Linked DNA regions of Mus musculus: regions 2 and 3 are each reported to be linked to region 1. Evidence: microRNA targets listed by miRTarBase, many of them from high-throughput screens and not tested one by one. Region 1 holds a microRNA gene; each other region holds the end of a gene's coding sequence.
The links. Region 1 holds the annotated microRNA mmu-miR-3076-3p (CGCACUCUGGUCUUCCCUUGCAG, at 2,968-2,990, opposite strand). A microRNA usually pairs through its seed, bases 2 to 8, with sites in the 3' UTR of a target mRNA and lowers its output. Matches are read on the target gene's strand: a 7mer-m8 pairs with bases 2 to 8, a 7mer-A1 pairs with bases 2 to 7 and ends in A, and an 8mer does both.

Region 1 (5,220 bases):
CATTTTCTTCTGGAAACATCTTTTCATGAGCCTATAACCTCTAGGGAGAACAGCAGTTTTGCTGACACAAAGGGCACTAAGCTGCAGGCACCTTCCATCGTCCTACAGGACAAGGACTTTTACATATGGTTGACTACATAGCATCCCCTTTAAGGAGGCCACAAGGACAAAAATGGTAGCCACAAAAACCCGAGGTGCAGTCCTTTACTCTGCATACTGGGCTGTAGTTAAGCCAACTTAAGCTCATCTCCGTGTAGGTTATAAATGAATGGTTATTTTATTTGACCATTACTGGGGGGTAACCCCTAATCTACTTTCCTAACTGCTGGCCTGGCTACCTCCCCAGCCGTGTGCCCCAGACACTTGCCAGTTTCTCTTGGCCATGTGCTCAAGGTCCATTCCCCCCACCACCTCAACTCCCAATCCCACCTACCTCTAATCCTCCAGTAATTGACTGTAGCCATTTTATTTAAACAATAGTTTTAAATTAAGGAAGAAGGTTTGCACAATAAAAGCCTGTAGACTTTTGGGTACAGAATTTAGCATTGCAATACATAGACCAATCCTTAGCACTCAGCCAAGTGGAATGCCTTCTAAAGTGGTTTCTTGTAGTAAGGATTAAGTAAAATGCATACAAAGTTCAGTAATGTCACTGTCACCTCCACCTGCTGTGAGCTTTACAGAGTTCAGAAAACACCATCCCTAGTCTCCTTCCTCAGATTCCTCTGTAGGGGTGTGCTTAGCACTGTAGTACCATAAATGGCCACCAGGTGGTGACCAAGCACCCAAGCTTTACTGTTTTTGTTCAGAACTACATAACATATTGTAGTTATGTCCAGACTCAAAACTCGTGGCTGAGAAGTTCCTCAATTGTCCTGACAGGGAGATGGCTTGCCTTCTTTTCTCAGTGAAGGAGAGTTCCTGACATGCGGAGCTCAAGGCCTCCCAGGGTGTGCCCTAAGATCACCCACTGAGGAGTCTCTGTCATCTCCCTGAGACAACCTACCTGCTCTGCTGTTTCTGGAGTTGGTACCATACAGTTCCCTGGCATGGAAGGATCGGGCCAGGCAACTCGCTAGCTGAGCAGTTTGTCGACAAAGGGCAAACATGCACATAGCTCAACAAATGGGCCCCATCCTCCCTAAGGGCACTGCGGAATTCCTAGGAAACAGCAGTGACCACCCATAAAAGGAGGAGTTGTGGGACCTTGGGGGCCATGGTGCAGCTATGGAGGGCCCAGGAAGGTTTTATAAGGCAGGAGGGAACTCCATGGTGTCATTTAGGGTACACTGGCAAAGGAAGGGGCTGGATCCTAGTTTGGCTAAAAGGCAGGCTGCAATGAGTGTCCCCAGTTATGACTTGGTGGGAGCAGTTGTGGCTTTGCAGAGGCTGAACTGGAGAAGGGGATTCCAGGGGACACCTAGATCCAGGGGACACCTAGATCCTGACCCCAAGCCTAGAGAGCCAGCTCTCTCCCTCTCTCCCCAGTCTCCTTCTCATACTGGCACTGGATATGTTTATATCACAGGAAAAAAAAAAGAGTCTGAGGATTAATTTTTTTCTCAAAACATATATTTACCTCCCCACTCAGTACACCTTCGCCACCTCTGCCAGAACCTCCCTGGAATGTGTAGTTCACCCACCCAGCATCCCATGCCCTCCCTAGCCCTTGGTGACAAGGCCTTTCACAGCTTGCACAATGGCGTCCTTGTCAATACCGAACATCTTCAGTAGCTCAGCTGGCTTGCCACTTCGTGGTACTTGGCTGACAGCCAGGCGAGTGACCGTCACTCCAGGTTCACCCACTACGGCAGCAGACACTGCCTCTCCTATGCCACCTGTGCAGAGGAAAGTCAGAGAGGTCTTAGTCCTGAGCCAGAGATGACAAAGACACAGCCCTTGCCGGAGCAGACATCACTAATCCACCAGGGTTCCCATGATTTATTCTAAGTCCAGATGTGCACTTTCTTTTTGTCACTTTTTCTTTGCCACTTGCCTGATTTTACACAGTGCTGGGGATTGAACCTAGGGCTTCATGCACACAAGGCAAGGACTCTACCATCAGAGCCCTACATCTATTTGTTTGTAGCTTTGACTGGCCTAGAACTCCCTATGTAGCTCAAGGTGGTCTTGAATTCAGAGATTCACCTGTCTTCACCTTCTGAGTCCTGGGATTTAGCCTCAACATTTAGCTTTATGTAATTAAAAAAAAATTGTTTTTAAACGTGTACCGAGTGTTTTTCCTGCATGTCTGTGAGCCACATGCTTGCTCCACGCCCTCAGAGGCCAGGAGAGGACACTGGGGACCTATAGATGCTTTCGAAGGCTATGTGACTGCCGGGTCTTCCCTGCTCCTTGAGTTAATACTTTAAACACTTCTTTATCTAGTATGTGTGTGCACACATATGGTACAGCTGGGGGTCAGCTTGACTCCCACAAGTTGTGCATTTGACCTTAGAGTCTCAGCTCGTCTCTCCTCAGAGGCTCCTGTAAGAACAGGCATGCACTTATAGAGGACTCAAGAAGACACTCGGTACTGTCTTTCCTGTTTGTTCCTGTCCAGCCATCTTACCTCCTTGATACGAGGCCCAGGAGTTCAGCTGTGGCCAGAAAACCCAGAGCCTTCATCAGTATAGCTGAGACCTGGCCTCTTCTGAGGCTTTAGGCTTTGGTATAGGGATCCAGCTAACCCATTTGCCGGCTGGCTCTACTCCCCGAGCCCCTGCCAGGCCGTGAGTGGCAAAGGCGGACTGTCCTCAGAGGAACTTAAAGTGGTGTCTACCTCTTGCCTCCCCTACTGCTCTCTCTGGCCTTCCCTCGCCAGGCTGGTGCAGCCCCAGTTACCTTCGTAGTAGTGGTCCTCCACGGTGAGGATCCTGCCTTTGGTTGCTCGGGCAGAGTCTAGGATGAGTTTCCTGTCCAGGGGCTTGATAGTGAAGGGATCCAGCACCCGGATGCTGATCTTATCTGCAAGGGAAGACCAGAGTGCGGCTAAGAGAAAGGCTGGCACTGAGCTTCCCCTGTGTTAGAACAGAACTCCAATGGCCCCTTATCCCGAATGGGGCGTCTTGGGCCTAAGAAGAACTACTCTTTGGTGGCTAGCTGTCTGTCCACTTACTCTCACCATTGAGAATAGCTCTTCTCCCTATTCTCTCCTGTTTGGGAGAGATAGTGGTCAGCTGGGTGCCCTGTGGACCGACTGTTAGAGCAGACTATGGGGCTCTTATCCTCCTATGCCTTTGAAGATAAAAGGAAGACTTCAGATATCTGATCTAACATAAAGGTTTTTGGGATAGTGGGGAGAAGAGCTGTAGCCAGAGTGACTTTCTCAGAATAAAAGCCACCTCACCACACCCAGCTGCCTAGACACCCTGTCTGGGTGGAGCTTTCTTGACCTCTCAGGCCCAGCTTGCTACAGCCTCAGTCCTGTTCACCCCCACATTGCACAGGCCACTCAGGTCACCCAACCAAGGGACCACCTTTTGCTTCCTGGTGCTCACAAGCTTGAGATGTGACGTGTCTGGCGATCTCACTGAGAGGACGAGGCTGACGCTCTGTCCCTACGGTATCACTAGCTAACAACATTATACTTATAGTAATAATAACAGTATGAATGCCAAGGCACACCTAAGGCCTTGGGACAGTCATAAAGGCTAAGTGCCAGTTTACACGTGGGGAATCGGAGACACAAAGACGGTGAATAAGTCATTTAACTAGTGACCGGCTGAGCTGTGACTTCAGTTTTCCTGGCAGGCTCCATGGCCTCCGATCTGATACAAAGGGATCATAGGTGAGGATAGTCACCAGTCCTAGAACATAGCATGGACATGGCGTAATGGCTCAAAGGGTGGCTTCAGTTATTGTCATCATGACTTAACTAGAGATTCTGTGTGACCAGCCTGTGACCTCCCTGGTCCCTTTCTTCTTACCTTTCTTTAGACTCTCTGCAGCAGCCAAGGCCTCATGCAGAGTTACACCAGCCCCGATCACTGTCACTTGGTCATCCTTGCTCTTCAGGACCACCTGCGGGTGACATGGGGACAGTGAGGGGCCAGAGCAGGGTCTGAGAGTAGAAGCAGCAGCAGGGTGGGTGGCTCCCTCGGGTTCTCATACACGAAGGGCACTGACCTTGGCTTGGCCGACCTGGAAATCCTCATTGTTGCTATAAATAATGGCATTCTCTGGGCGGCTGGTCCGGATGAAGCAAATGCCCTGGGATTGGAACAGATAAACTGAGAAACACGACAGCTTGGTCTTCTAGAGGGCCACCCTTCCTAGATACAAGCCTCATTTAGTCAGTCAATTATAACCTGGGCACAGTCATTGTGTCCTGGCGCTATGGCAAAGAGATGGGGCTGGTTCCCTGTAGCTGGTACCTCTGAACACAGGAGAAGAAGCACCCACAGCCTGGCTAATCTCAGACTGGAAGCAACTTCTAAAAGGTAAACTGGCTTGGCTTCTCAGTGGGGCTACTCCCCAGAATGCCTCGGTAAGGCTGGCCCCGGCTCTCGGGTGGGACACGGGAAACTCTGTATGCCAGTCTGAGGCAAGTCAGTTATTGTCCTGGACCAGAGACTCGGGTTACTGTCCTTCAACCCAAGGAAGGCAAACACCAGTGGTCAAGCTGGCAGAGTGCCCATCAGCTGGCAGTGTCTGCCATGATGCATGACGAATGGTATGCTTTGATTTTCTCAGTCTTGTTTCTTTAAGGTATACACACACGAGGGACATGGCCAGGAAATGCCTCCCTAGGCAGCAAGTGACCAGCTCTACCTTGCGCTGGCCTCCTCTTCTGCCTCTGTGGAAGAGCTAGCTTCCAAAAGAACAGCCACACGACTAACCTTTGTGTTGGCTGCTAACTCCACTGCCTTCTCTGTTGCAACTCCATCGCTTGGGTAAAAGACGGTGGACATGGGGACTGACCGGAACATGGCCAGGTCTTCGAGGGCCATCTGAGAGGGCCCGTCTTCCCCTGGAGTATTGAAAAGAGGCTGATGATTGGCTCCAGCTTCCAGCGTGCCCTCCCACACGCACTGGTGCTTAGCAACAGGTCTGAACTCACCAATGGACACACCACAGTGGGAGCCACAGAGGTTGATGTTGCTCTCAGAGATGGCGGCCATGCGAATCTGGTCGAAGGCCCGTGTGAAGAAGGCCGCGAAAGTACTGCAGAAGGGCACTGTCCGGTCACGTGTGGCACAGCCCACGGCAATGCTCACC
Region 2 (5,220 bases), not on the chromosome of region 1:
GGCCGTCTCCAGCAGAAGCCCAGGAGCTGCCTCCCATGGTCCCTGCAGTTAGACGTACCTCCACTTGGAGGTTCTGACTCGTAGGAACCTTTCCCTCCATACAAGTTGTCCTCATTGTGTTGGTGGCCCCGGGCTCAGGGACAGCCACTTACATTCTGGCTTTCAGGTCTTTACCTGAGGGCTTGTTAGCCCTCTGCAAACTGGCCATCCCTGGCCCTTGCATGGGTGAACTGCTGGCTCTACACCCAGGAGCTGCTTGGGGTGGCCTGGGCCTCAAGACCAGGTTACTCAGCTCCTGACCCACACTCCCAACATTGTGTCCCAAGGTGCCATCGGCTTGGCTTGGACCTTCCTGCTCTATGGGCTGACCGCTGTCCTTGGCCTGGCTTTCATCTACCTACTTGTTCCTGAAACCAAAGGACAGTCTTTAGCTGAAATAGAGCAGCAGTTTCAGACAAGCAGGTAGGTGGTGGGTGAGGTGTGGGGGCTGGGACAGTGCATCAAGAGGGGTGGGGCTCTTTAGGACCTCAGTCTCCTGCTTTCTTTTGCTACATGCTTGCATCTCCTGCCTCCCTGCCATTTTGCCCAGCCACTTTCCTTCAGCTATCTTGTATCATTAGACGGTGGCTTTGCATGGACGTTAAGGCTCAGCTCCCAGGTTTGTGTGTGCACTGAAGGGAACATGCATACCTGGGCCTCTTCCCGTGTAACTGTGTGTAACACATGTAAGCATTCGACCCTGAGCTCCGTCCCAGCCCTGGTTTTTCTTTTTGAGGCACAGCCCCACCATATCAGGTGGGGGCAGTGATGCCCACTGCCTCCTGCCCAGGGAGGCTTCAGGCCTGCTGTTCTCTGATTGTGTGGTTTCATTTGCAGGTTCCCTCTAAACTTTGGCCATAGGCAGCGCATCGGTATTCAGTACCATCGCCTGGATGTCTCCTCAGCCTCCTGAGGCATCCGTCTGCTTGGAAGATGCTGGGACATTGGTTCCTGCAGCCCATCTCCTGCTCCCTGCCTGCTGGGGTCTGAAACTCCTGATACAGATTTCCTTCTGTAGTGACCTCTGCTCCCAGAGGCTGCCTCTTGCCGGTGTGAGAGATAACTGCCAAACTCTTCATTTTGAGTGTGAGACTCTGAGGGCTCTCTGGAAGATTTAGCTCCATGCCTCAGTTTCCCCAGGGAGTTGACTTGTCTGCCATGTTTATAATGACATCCTCTGTGGCGTTCATCAAGTGCTTCTCAGAGGACCTGGGAAGGAAGTGTCTCTTACCACCATCCCCAACCAGCAGAGGCTGTGAGTCTCCGCCTTCCTCGTCCCCTTGCTGGGGTCTTAGTGATCCAGAGCCTGTATTCATCAGCCCCTCCCACTTGCCCAAGATGTTTATCAGGTGCTGGGACTCTGACTGGGGACAGCAGGCTGTAACGGAGATGGTCTTATGACCCTGGCCTCAGTTTCCCCATGTGTCTCACAGAAACTGGACTAGGCTACTCCTAAGATCCCTTCTCACTCCACAAGGACCGAAGTCTCAGAGCAGGGATATAATAAGCACTCAATGAAGGGGCCCTGTCGAGTGGCTCTGGGGACAGAAGCTTTGTTAGTTAGCAGAGAGTGCACCTCTGTTCCAGAGTCTAGCATTCTGGAATGTAAGAGCAGGACTCCAACGTGTGACAAGTGCTAGGACCCCAATAGTTTCCAGGGTTCGGCAGAAGGCTTTGAATGAAGGAAGGGATTAGAGGGACTCATCCGTGTGTTGGTGATTGTGGCTTCTACTTCAGTTGCTACTGACTTCCTAAAGCCCTGGTTTATTCATCTGCAGAATGGGCACAGTTGTGTGCCTCAGGATATATTGACGTACGCCATCTCTCTCAGGAGAGTCTTCCGTGAGCCCTGGGGGCTTCTGCTCACCGTGTTACATAGAGCTCTTCTTTGGGGGCGTTGTAAAGGTCAGTCAACTGGAGACAAGCAAGAGCCTCAGGTCAGAGGTCACATAAGGAGGACATCAATAAAACAGAGTTAGTTCCTAGACACTGGGTAGCTGGCCTCACCAGCACTGTCAGCTGTCATACCCTCCTGGTTCCCAAGCCTGGCCTGGTGACCATGCTCTCTGTTTCTAGATACGTCATTCATAACCAGTGGTGTGCTGGATTAAGCTTGTGCTGGCTCCCCAGAGCTGACTGCCACGCAGTTGGGACTTCTACAGACTGGTTGCTAAGCACTGGCATCATCTAGAAAGTGTTTTCATGGATAATAAACAATCAGTGTAATTATAATAGTCAATACTCAAACCTCATCACCGCCTATGTGCTGGTGCATGCCTGTAATCCCAGCACTCAGGAGGCTAAAGGATTGAGTGTTCTAGGCCAGTCTGGCTTCAAACTGAAATCTTATCCAACCAAATCAATAGACGAATACAAAAAAACCAAACCTTATCACTGCCTCCTAACATCTCTGCTGCCCTTCTCCCTCCTCCACGCTGCTGGGATGCCCTCTGTGTGTGTGTGTGTGTGTGTGTGTGTGTGTGTGTGTGTGTGTGCTTACAGAGTGCTCTTCAGGTGGAACGTTTTCTCACACAAAGACGTGTAATTTAAAAGTGTATTTTGAAATAAATTATTTTGAGCACAAACGCATATGGTGATTTATATTTCCGCACAAATGCACGTGTGTTGTCTACTAAGTGTCAAGGGTCACTCTAGACCCCAGGGCAGAGTGTGGCCTAGACAAGGTTCCTGTGCTTATTCTGACATTCTGGTTGGGTGGCTGGTCCATGAGAAAGATAAGGAGATGAAAAGGGGAAAGAAGGACAGAAAACTGAATGGAGGGGAGAAAAACCATTGATTGATAGATACAGAATAGTAGGGATAAGATGACAGACAACACACAAATAACCAGATCCTCTCCAGTCCCCCAATTTTTCTTTTTTTTACACTTTTGGGAAATACTCTAAAATGAATAGGTTAAGAACTGCCCTTGCCTTGTATGTTACAGAGAATATTTGGCGTCTACTCACACTTTCCTTTGTGATGATAAATCAAACCAGTTAAAAATGAAGGCCGGAGAGCTGGCGTGACAGTGCACACATTTAATCTCAACACTTGGGAAGCCGGGGAAGATGGATCTCTGCGAGTTCTAGGTCAGGTCTGTCTACACAGTGAGTCTCAGAACAGTCAGAAAGACATAGTGAGACCAAAACAAAAAACATAAAAAAAAAAAAAAACCAAAACCACAAAGATAAGCAGAAGTGTCCGTGTAGCCCAGACTGTCCTAGAACTGACTATATAGACCAATCTGGCTTTAAACTCACAGAGATCCATCTGCCTCTGCCTCCCGCCGCGCGAGTGCTTGGATTAGTGGTGCTCCCCACTAATGCCCTGTGTCCCAAGAGGCTGAGTTCAGAAACACTGACCCTGACCAAGGTCAAGAGCAGAAGCAGCAATTTCTCACACCATTTGGATGTTTCTTCTGCATGTGTAGAAACTTGAGTTGCAGGAGCGCCAAGTCAACATTCCAGCTTTCCTGGCAAGGACTGAGTTTGCCAGTGGAAGCAACAATGTTTTCATTTTCTCATTTTCTTCCTCGCCCCGCCTCTGTGCTTCTCAGCTTTCTCCACTTGTGCATCTCCTTTACATTCACCTCCATGACGTTGCTAAGTTCTTCCAGACTTATGGGCCATGTGCCACCCTAAACCTCTGAGTTTGACTGGGCTGGTCGTTACCGAGATAGGATCCAAAAAACTTTCTCTGGCTCCATCTGTCAATCAGATGCCAACGTCTGGAGAGGGTGAGAACTGGGCAACGGTGCTGGGTACCGCACTTCATTGCCATCTGCTGAGATGGAGCTGGGCACAGAACAAGTTGCTCCAACGTCCTCGGTTGTTGAGGTTTGGTCTTTTGCGATGTATTGTAATACTAAAAACTGTCTCCCAAGACACCTGGTCGCCCCCAGGGATGAGAGAATCTGCACGCACACAAGGGATGCTATGTGACCTTGCCCCGCCCCCCAAGTTATCCCTGATTGGTGAATAAAGATGCCCACAGCCAATAGCAGGCAGAGTTTGGGTTCTATGGCTTGGACTCTGAGGAGACCATGAAAGAGATGGAAAGAGACTGTGGGAAGAGAAGATCCCATGGTTAGCTGGATCATGCAAACATGGCTGTGAGAGCTGGCCAATTGGAGTTCAGAGCTGCCCAGATGGAACATGGCAAATTATAATTTGGGGTTATTGATAGCGAAGTAGATTTTAATAGCTTGGAGGATTGATATCTGCCCAGTTCTACTGCTGATTAAGGCTTATTATAAATACAAAGGTCGAGTGTCTTTTATCTGGGAACTGAAGGATAAGAGGTGGGGTAGAAACCCCTGATCTGAGATTAAATAAAAACTGTAACCCTTGATGGTTAAACACATTGACTCTGTACTGCCTTTTCTAGCATCTTAGGCTCCAAGCAGTACTTGAAGCTCTCCCACACTGGGCAGCGTGGTCCCACGAGAATGACCAGTCCTGGTCACTGTGATGTTCCTTGGTTGTTCACAGAGCTCTGAGTTCTACACATTGAAAGAGCAGAGTCAGAAAGAAGCAAATATACTTCCTAAGACTTAGGGGTTGCTTCTCCCCTGGCTATCCACTCTCAGATTTGCCTGTAGGTCCCTCCCAGGCAGTCCATGGTCTGACACCTGCTTGGGTTGGTCACACTTTGGGGTGGCATTCTACTGGGACTGTTGGCTGACCCAGAGCTAACTGCTTCTGAAAGACCCCCGTTTCTGGGGAGACTCTCGCTCAAGTCCTGGGATGAGCCGATGCCCCAATAACTATTGCATGAGGTTTATTCAGGAATCAGCATGCTGAGGCCGAGCTCGTAACTCACACAGGGAGAGAAGAGATCGACCCCCAGCAGTTGCAGTCGAGGGTTTTTAAAGAATAAACCACAAAGTGAGGGGAGGATAAGGCCACAAAGAATGGGGAAGCTGAGTAAACATCGTAAGAATGAGGATGGTGAATTACAGCTCATCTCTCACAGAAAGGTTACAGGCTATCTTTGGCAAACATTCTTGGTCCTTTTACACTATGGGTCAGGAGCTTGGGTGGGTCACCTAGTGGTCATTGTTCTCTCAGGCTGAAGGTGAAAGAACAAAGAATTCCATGCTGGGCTTCGTTTCTAGGGGGTCTAAGAAACATATTGAGTTGGGGTCGTACACGTCTAGAAGTTCAGAACCAGTCTCTG
Region 3 (5,220 bases), not on the chromosome of region 1:
AATCAGAGGGCGGTGCTGAAGGCTCGGCATTTGGAGAAGGAAGAATACATCAGCCGGCTGGCTCAGGACAAGGAGGAGATGAAGGTAGGCCTACACTTCTGTAGTCCAGGCCCTGCCTAATCTGGGCTGGGCCCTTCAAGTTGAGCTCCTTTTTCTCCAGGTGAAGCTGCTGGAGCTCCAGGAGCTGGTGTTGAGGCTTGTGAACGAGCGCAATGAATGGCAGGGCAAGTTCCTGGCCGTCTCTCAGAACCCTGGTGACGTGCTCACCCCAGTGCCCACAGGCTCCCAGGAATTTGGTGCTGCTGACCAGCAGGATGGTGAGTAGAGCTGTTGTCTCTTGGGAAGGCACAAAGGGGAGGAGTCCCATGGCGTGCAGAGCCATGACCCCCTCCCCCTTTCTCTAAAGACCTCAGGGAGGTGAGCCTGGCTGACGATATAGAGCCTGCACAAGGAGAGGCAGGGGTACCTGCTCCCCATGAGAACCCTACTGCACAGCAGATCATGCAGCTGCTGCGTGAGATCCAGAACCCCCGGGAGCGGCCAGGCCTGGGTAGCAACCCTTGCATCCCCTTTTTCTACCGTGCCGATGAGAACGACGAGGTGAAGATCATGGTTGTATAAAAGACTGGCGGCCAAAGCCTCAGCAAGGGCAGCCAGAGGTTCTGCCCCAACCCACACCCTTCCTCAGCCACCCTTATCTTTATAATAATAATAAGGTCAGACTCCATCCCCTCCAGGGGCTGGGGAAGTAGCTCAGTTGGTAGAGTGCTTGCCTGCTGTGCACACAGCCTTGGGTCCCCAGTACCTCTGAAAAGGCTGATACCTGTAATTTGAGTGCTTGGGAAGTGGAGGTGGAAGAATCAGCCATCCTCATCTACCTAGTGAGTTTGAGGCCACACTGGGCTACATGCGACCCTGTCTGAAAAAACCAAAAGATCAGGCTCCTATCTTAATGGGGGACACAGACTGGTACAGATCTGCCTCTTAGCCAGGGCAGTTTTACTTTGTAAATTCCTGTTACAGAAAGAACGCCAGAGACTCAGTGATGGAGCAGACTGTGCTGGGTGGCCTGGGGGCTTTCTCACCAAGGAGGGCCTCAGGCCTTACTCAGGACTCTGGGGCAGAACAGAGTGGCAGCATTCTCGTGCCCAGGTGCAGTGCAGGCTGGTAAACTGGCCTAGCATTCAGCAGGGCTTCTAAGTTTTCACCGGCTCAGTCCTCCCTATCCTCCTTTTCCTCCCCGCCCCCATTTTATCTTCATTTTCTTTACGGAGTGTCTCCTGTAGCCCGAGCTGAGCCCCTGCCTCACCGCTGTGCCTGGTGGTTGGCAGTGCTAAGCAGGCACTCTACCAAGTGATTTACCCCCAGCACTCCCTGCCTTTTTCCTTTGTGTGGTGATGCTGGGGATGGAACCCAGGGCACAGCAGGTCCCCAGATCAACTCCCATCTTCTCAGAGGCACTTTAGGGCAGTGGGGCTGGGCAGCACTTCATGGGTCCTCAGGCAGTTGGGGCTAACTGCCTCAGGAAGGCATCCCACTTTGGAGGGCTTCCATCTTTTTGAGGCACTTTGGGACAGGGAAAGTGGGTACCATTCTCTCAGGCCTTATGACAATTGGGGTAACTACGCCAAGCAGGACAGAGGCTGCTGGGGCAGGGTGGCCTTCCCCTCCCCCGGTGTACATATTGTACCTGTGTACTATTTTGTATATACCGGGGTAGGGACACCCCTGTATCATAGTGGAGGTTGGAGCTGGCAAATGGGAAGAGCTTCTAATAATCACTTTGGGCTGGGAACCTTATTTATTGGTAGTGTTAGGTCAGAGGGCAGGAGGCGGAGACAAGGTTGTGGCACCTGCTGATGCAGCTCCTCTTTATTTTGCTTTTTACTTGGGAAATAAATGGATTTAGCCATACTGCTGGGCCTAGGGTGTTCGTCATTGGTTCTGGGGTTAGCCTCAGGCTGGCACTGAGCAGGGAATGTGTCCTGCCTGGAGAGAGCAGGCTTCTGGCCTGTATGGAGCCCAAGGTCTGAAGTGCCTGGCAGGGCTGATTGACACCTATCACCTATACACTGCCTATTGAAGCCTAGGGACCCCAGGGGGAGTACCATGGGGCTACAGGGACAGAGCTTCCTTACTGAGTAAGAGAGTCAAGCCTGACATATAGTATACATAGGTGGGACTCGGGGTGCAGCAACTAAGGGCGCTGACTTCCAGGCCAGGCCTCTTACATTCCGACCCTTCCCCTTAGTCTGTCCACACTAGAGACCTGTTTTGTTCTTTAGGCTGTTCACAGCATCCTGGCTGAGCTCATGATACTGCCCCCTAGTGGTGTAAGCAGGATTCGTAGGATGAGGACCTGCTAAACTCACAAGCACCCTAGCAAGGGCCTTTCCTCACCCTCCATTCAGTGCCCAGTTTACACCGTCCTCTCAGCCCCAGAGAATACAAACCAGCAGAGGTACACGCAATTCCCCATGATCCAGAAATGGGTTTTATTCTCAGCCAAGAGACAGCAAGACTGGTGGCTACCAGAGAACTGCACAGCTGCTGCTGCTGCAGCATCCCCTTGCTGCAGGGTTGGGATGGCCAAGGGGATGGCTGTTCACAGGCCAGGAGGACAGGGGGGCTCACTGGAGGTGGTACACTGGAGGGGGGGTTGTCAGGATGACAGCGTTCCCTTGTTGGACCACAAGACTCCACAAGGACAGCATGGTGGTTGATTCTGACACTACAGGCGAGGCTGTGTCAGCCATATATATGTATATATATGTATATATAGGTATATTTATAGATATTTATAGAATGTCGCAGGAGCAATACCACAGAGGGGCACAAGTTTTCACCAACATCACATCTGGATGTGTCAGCTCACCACTACAACAGACTAAGTCACAGATGATGAATAGGACGCTTTGGGGCCGGGGGAGCCACTGTCAAGTCACAGAACAGCTGTCCAGGCAGGCTTGGTAAGGGAGGTCTCCGAGGAGTAGGAGGGATCTGGTTAGAGGTCGAAGGGGGGCCTGGGGCTCTCAGGACGGGACGGACTTGCCTGACCCGATCGGCTGGCAGTTGGAGAGAAAGCCGAGAGAGAACGGAAGAGAGAAAAGGAAGGAGAGCTGGTAAGGCAAGAGCAGCCACCTCCAGCAGAGGCAGGGGCTGAGGCAGGTGTGGATGTGGGCAGGGTTCCCGGAAGAGATGCACAGTTGATGAATGAAAGGGAAGATGGGGTGCTGGGCCGTAACTAGCAGGTAGTCTGAGTAGAGGCTGGTGGCCCTCTCTTGCCACACACACGGCCTCTCACACACCACCCAGGCAATGCACCACAGGGCCTCCCTCATTTTTGCTCACTGTCTCTCATCTCACTGGCTCAGGGCCACCCCAAGCCTCAGGGAGTCCCATGTAACAGCCATGAGGCCAGAAGTGCTTGAACCAGGAGATTGAAGCTAAAGGGGATGGCTGGAGGGAGCGCTGGAGGCCCCTCAGGTGGTCAGAAAGTCAGGAGTCCTCTGAGGGGACCCTGGGGAGGCTGGGAGGCAGGCAGCCGATGCCTGCGGCCACAGACTTATAAGTCTAAGAGGGGAGCCTCCGTTGGTCGGGGGGCTGCAGGTCTCGTAGGTGAGGCTGGGCCCTTCCTGCTGGGGAAAAGCAGAAGGGTGAGCGTCAATGGCTGGGGAAGAGTTGGGACAGGGTAACCGAGATCTGTGGCCAGCCAGGCAGAACTCAAGTTGACTTTCCCAGTCAGTAGACAATGCATTGCCTTCGGCTAAAAGGCACAGGTCACTCTGAAAACAGGTCAAATGTTGGAGCTGATGGGCTGGCTCTATGTCGGGGGCTGACGAGGTGGCTGTTAGCTACAGGTGTGCAATGTCAAGGATGAATGAGATCCTCACCTTGCCTGCGAGCCCTCAGGCGCTGGCAGAAAGGCAAAGGCTCTTAAGTTGTCTAAAGTCACCAGTCAGAGCCTGGCTTTGCCAGCGCGATTCTCATGCTTGCCCTGTGGTGAATTTAGTCGCCATGCTCCTAGGCTGGAAGGAGAAAGCTCTTATCTTGGCAGCATAGTTCAGAGTAGGTATGAAGAGGGGGTCCTAACGCTTCTGGCCCCTTCAGAGGCTGAAGACACCCTCTCCTAGTTCTTAGTCCCTACACTGTCAACAGTGGTCTGGTGTCTCCAGGGAGCACCCACATCTACCGTCTTGGACATGAAACCTGTTCCAAGAGCCCTCAGTTTAAGCAAGAAGGCCTTGAGTAGTGGCGCTGAGTCCCGAGGCTCACTGGAAAGGGAAGTGAGAGAGCCAGCTGGAAGAGGACAGGAAGAGGGAGTCCAGAGCTGCAGGAGAAGGAGGAGGGGCCTGGCTCAGGGGTCCCAGGTGTCCTCAGCATGGAGCTGGTGCAGCGAGGAGGGAGGGGTAGACACACTGTTCATGCAGCAGGCTGAGAGCATAACCTACCGTAGCTGACACTCCTCAGGGGTCACTGATAGTGATTCTGAAAGACAGCACGAAATCAACAGGGCAGTTCACAAACACACAGGTGGGCCAGGCTGGGGGTTAGGGGACACACACACGCACACGCCTGGGCGTGCACACACATGCTGTGAGGCCTTAAGGCCCTGCGTGCACACGTTAACACACATGCCCACAAACACGCATATATCTCCCTCCCACCTCCCAGTGCCCAGCACCATTGCCGGCCAATACGTCGTGCAGCACGGATCTGGGACATGCAGCCACTCAGCACACAGAAGCACACGCATGAGCTGTCACAACACAGAAGCTCGCCTGCACAGAGAAGGCCTTTGCACCAGCTCCCTGCACATCCAGGCCTGGTGTGCTGACAGGGTTACCATAGGGCTCCGTAAAGGACAGGGCTTGCACTTTAGGATCCAGCTGTCATTTCTTTGCTCAAGAACCTTCCATGGCTCCCTATATCATTGAGTCTCTACAAATCTCCAACCTACCCCACCCTACCATTGACCATTAGTAAAGCAGCCCACTGTCTCTGTCAATCTCACACTCCCCTGGGGAAATGTCAGGGGACACACATGTATTTAGAAGGAAACTAAAGCCCTGAGAGGGAAAATGACTTGCCTAAGGGAAGTGAACCAGCATTTCTGGACTCCCAGTCCTGTCTTAACTGTTCCAGACATTAGAGTCCCACAGAGTAAGCCCATCCCTGCCTCGTTTAGTGTATGGGGGCTAGGCCCCTAGCTCTGTCCTT

Region 2: the mRNA of Slc2a10 is a reported target of mmu-miR-3076-3p. Seed matches in the 3' UTR shown: 8mer at 1,607-1,614 and 7mer-m8 at 2,540-2,546.
Region 3: the mRNA of Golga2 is a reported target of mmu-miR-3076-3p. Seed matches in the 3' UTR shown: 7mer-m8 at 763-769.

What each region holds. Positions count from the first base shown.
Region 1 is chr14:30,569,955-30,575,174 of GRCm38, reverse strand. It overlaps Mir3076 (microRNA 3076), which reads right to left and starts at 3,026; the gene lies at 2,967-3,026. Tkt (transketolase) reads right to left here. Exons shown (of 14, transcript NM_009388.6): 9 at 5,063-5,219; 10 at 4,842-4,972; 11 at 4,129-4,212; 12 at 3,930-4,023; 13 at 2,845-2,967; 14 at 451-1,838. The coding sequence ends at 1,663.
Region 2 is chr2:165,517,291-165,522,510 of GRCm38, forward strand. It overlaps Slc2a10 (solute carrier family 2 (facilitated glucose transporter), member 10), which reads left to right. Exons shown (of 5, transcript NM_130451.3): 4 at 327-462; 5 at 877-2,627. The coding sequence ends at 952. Among named protein-coding and RNA genes, the nearest start is that of Slc2a10, 16 kb to the left of the region's middle.
Region 3 is chr2:32,306,000-32,311,219 of GRCm38, forward strand. Golga2 (golgi autoantigen, golgin subfamily a, 2) reads left to right here. Exons shown (of 26, transcript NM_001080968.2): 24 at 1-84; 25 at 161-317; 26 at 407-1,914. The coding sequence ends at 621. It overlaps Dnm1 (dynamin 1), which reads right to left. Exons shown (of 23, transcript NM_001301737.1): 22 at 4,452-4,488; 23 at 2,472-3,065. The coding sequence ends at 4,467. Among named protein-coding and RNA genes, the nearest start is that of Gm23363, 9.7 kb to the right of the region's middle.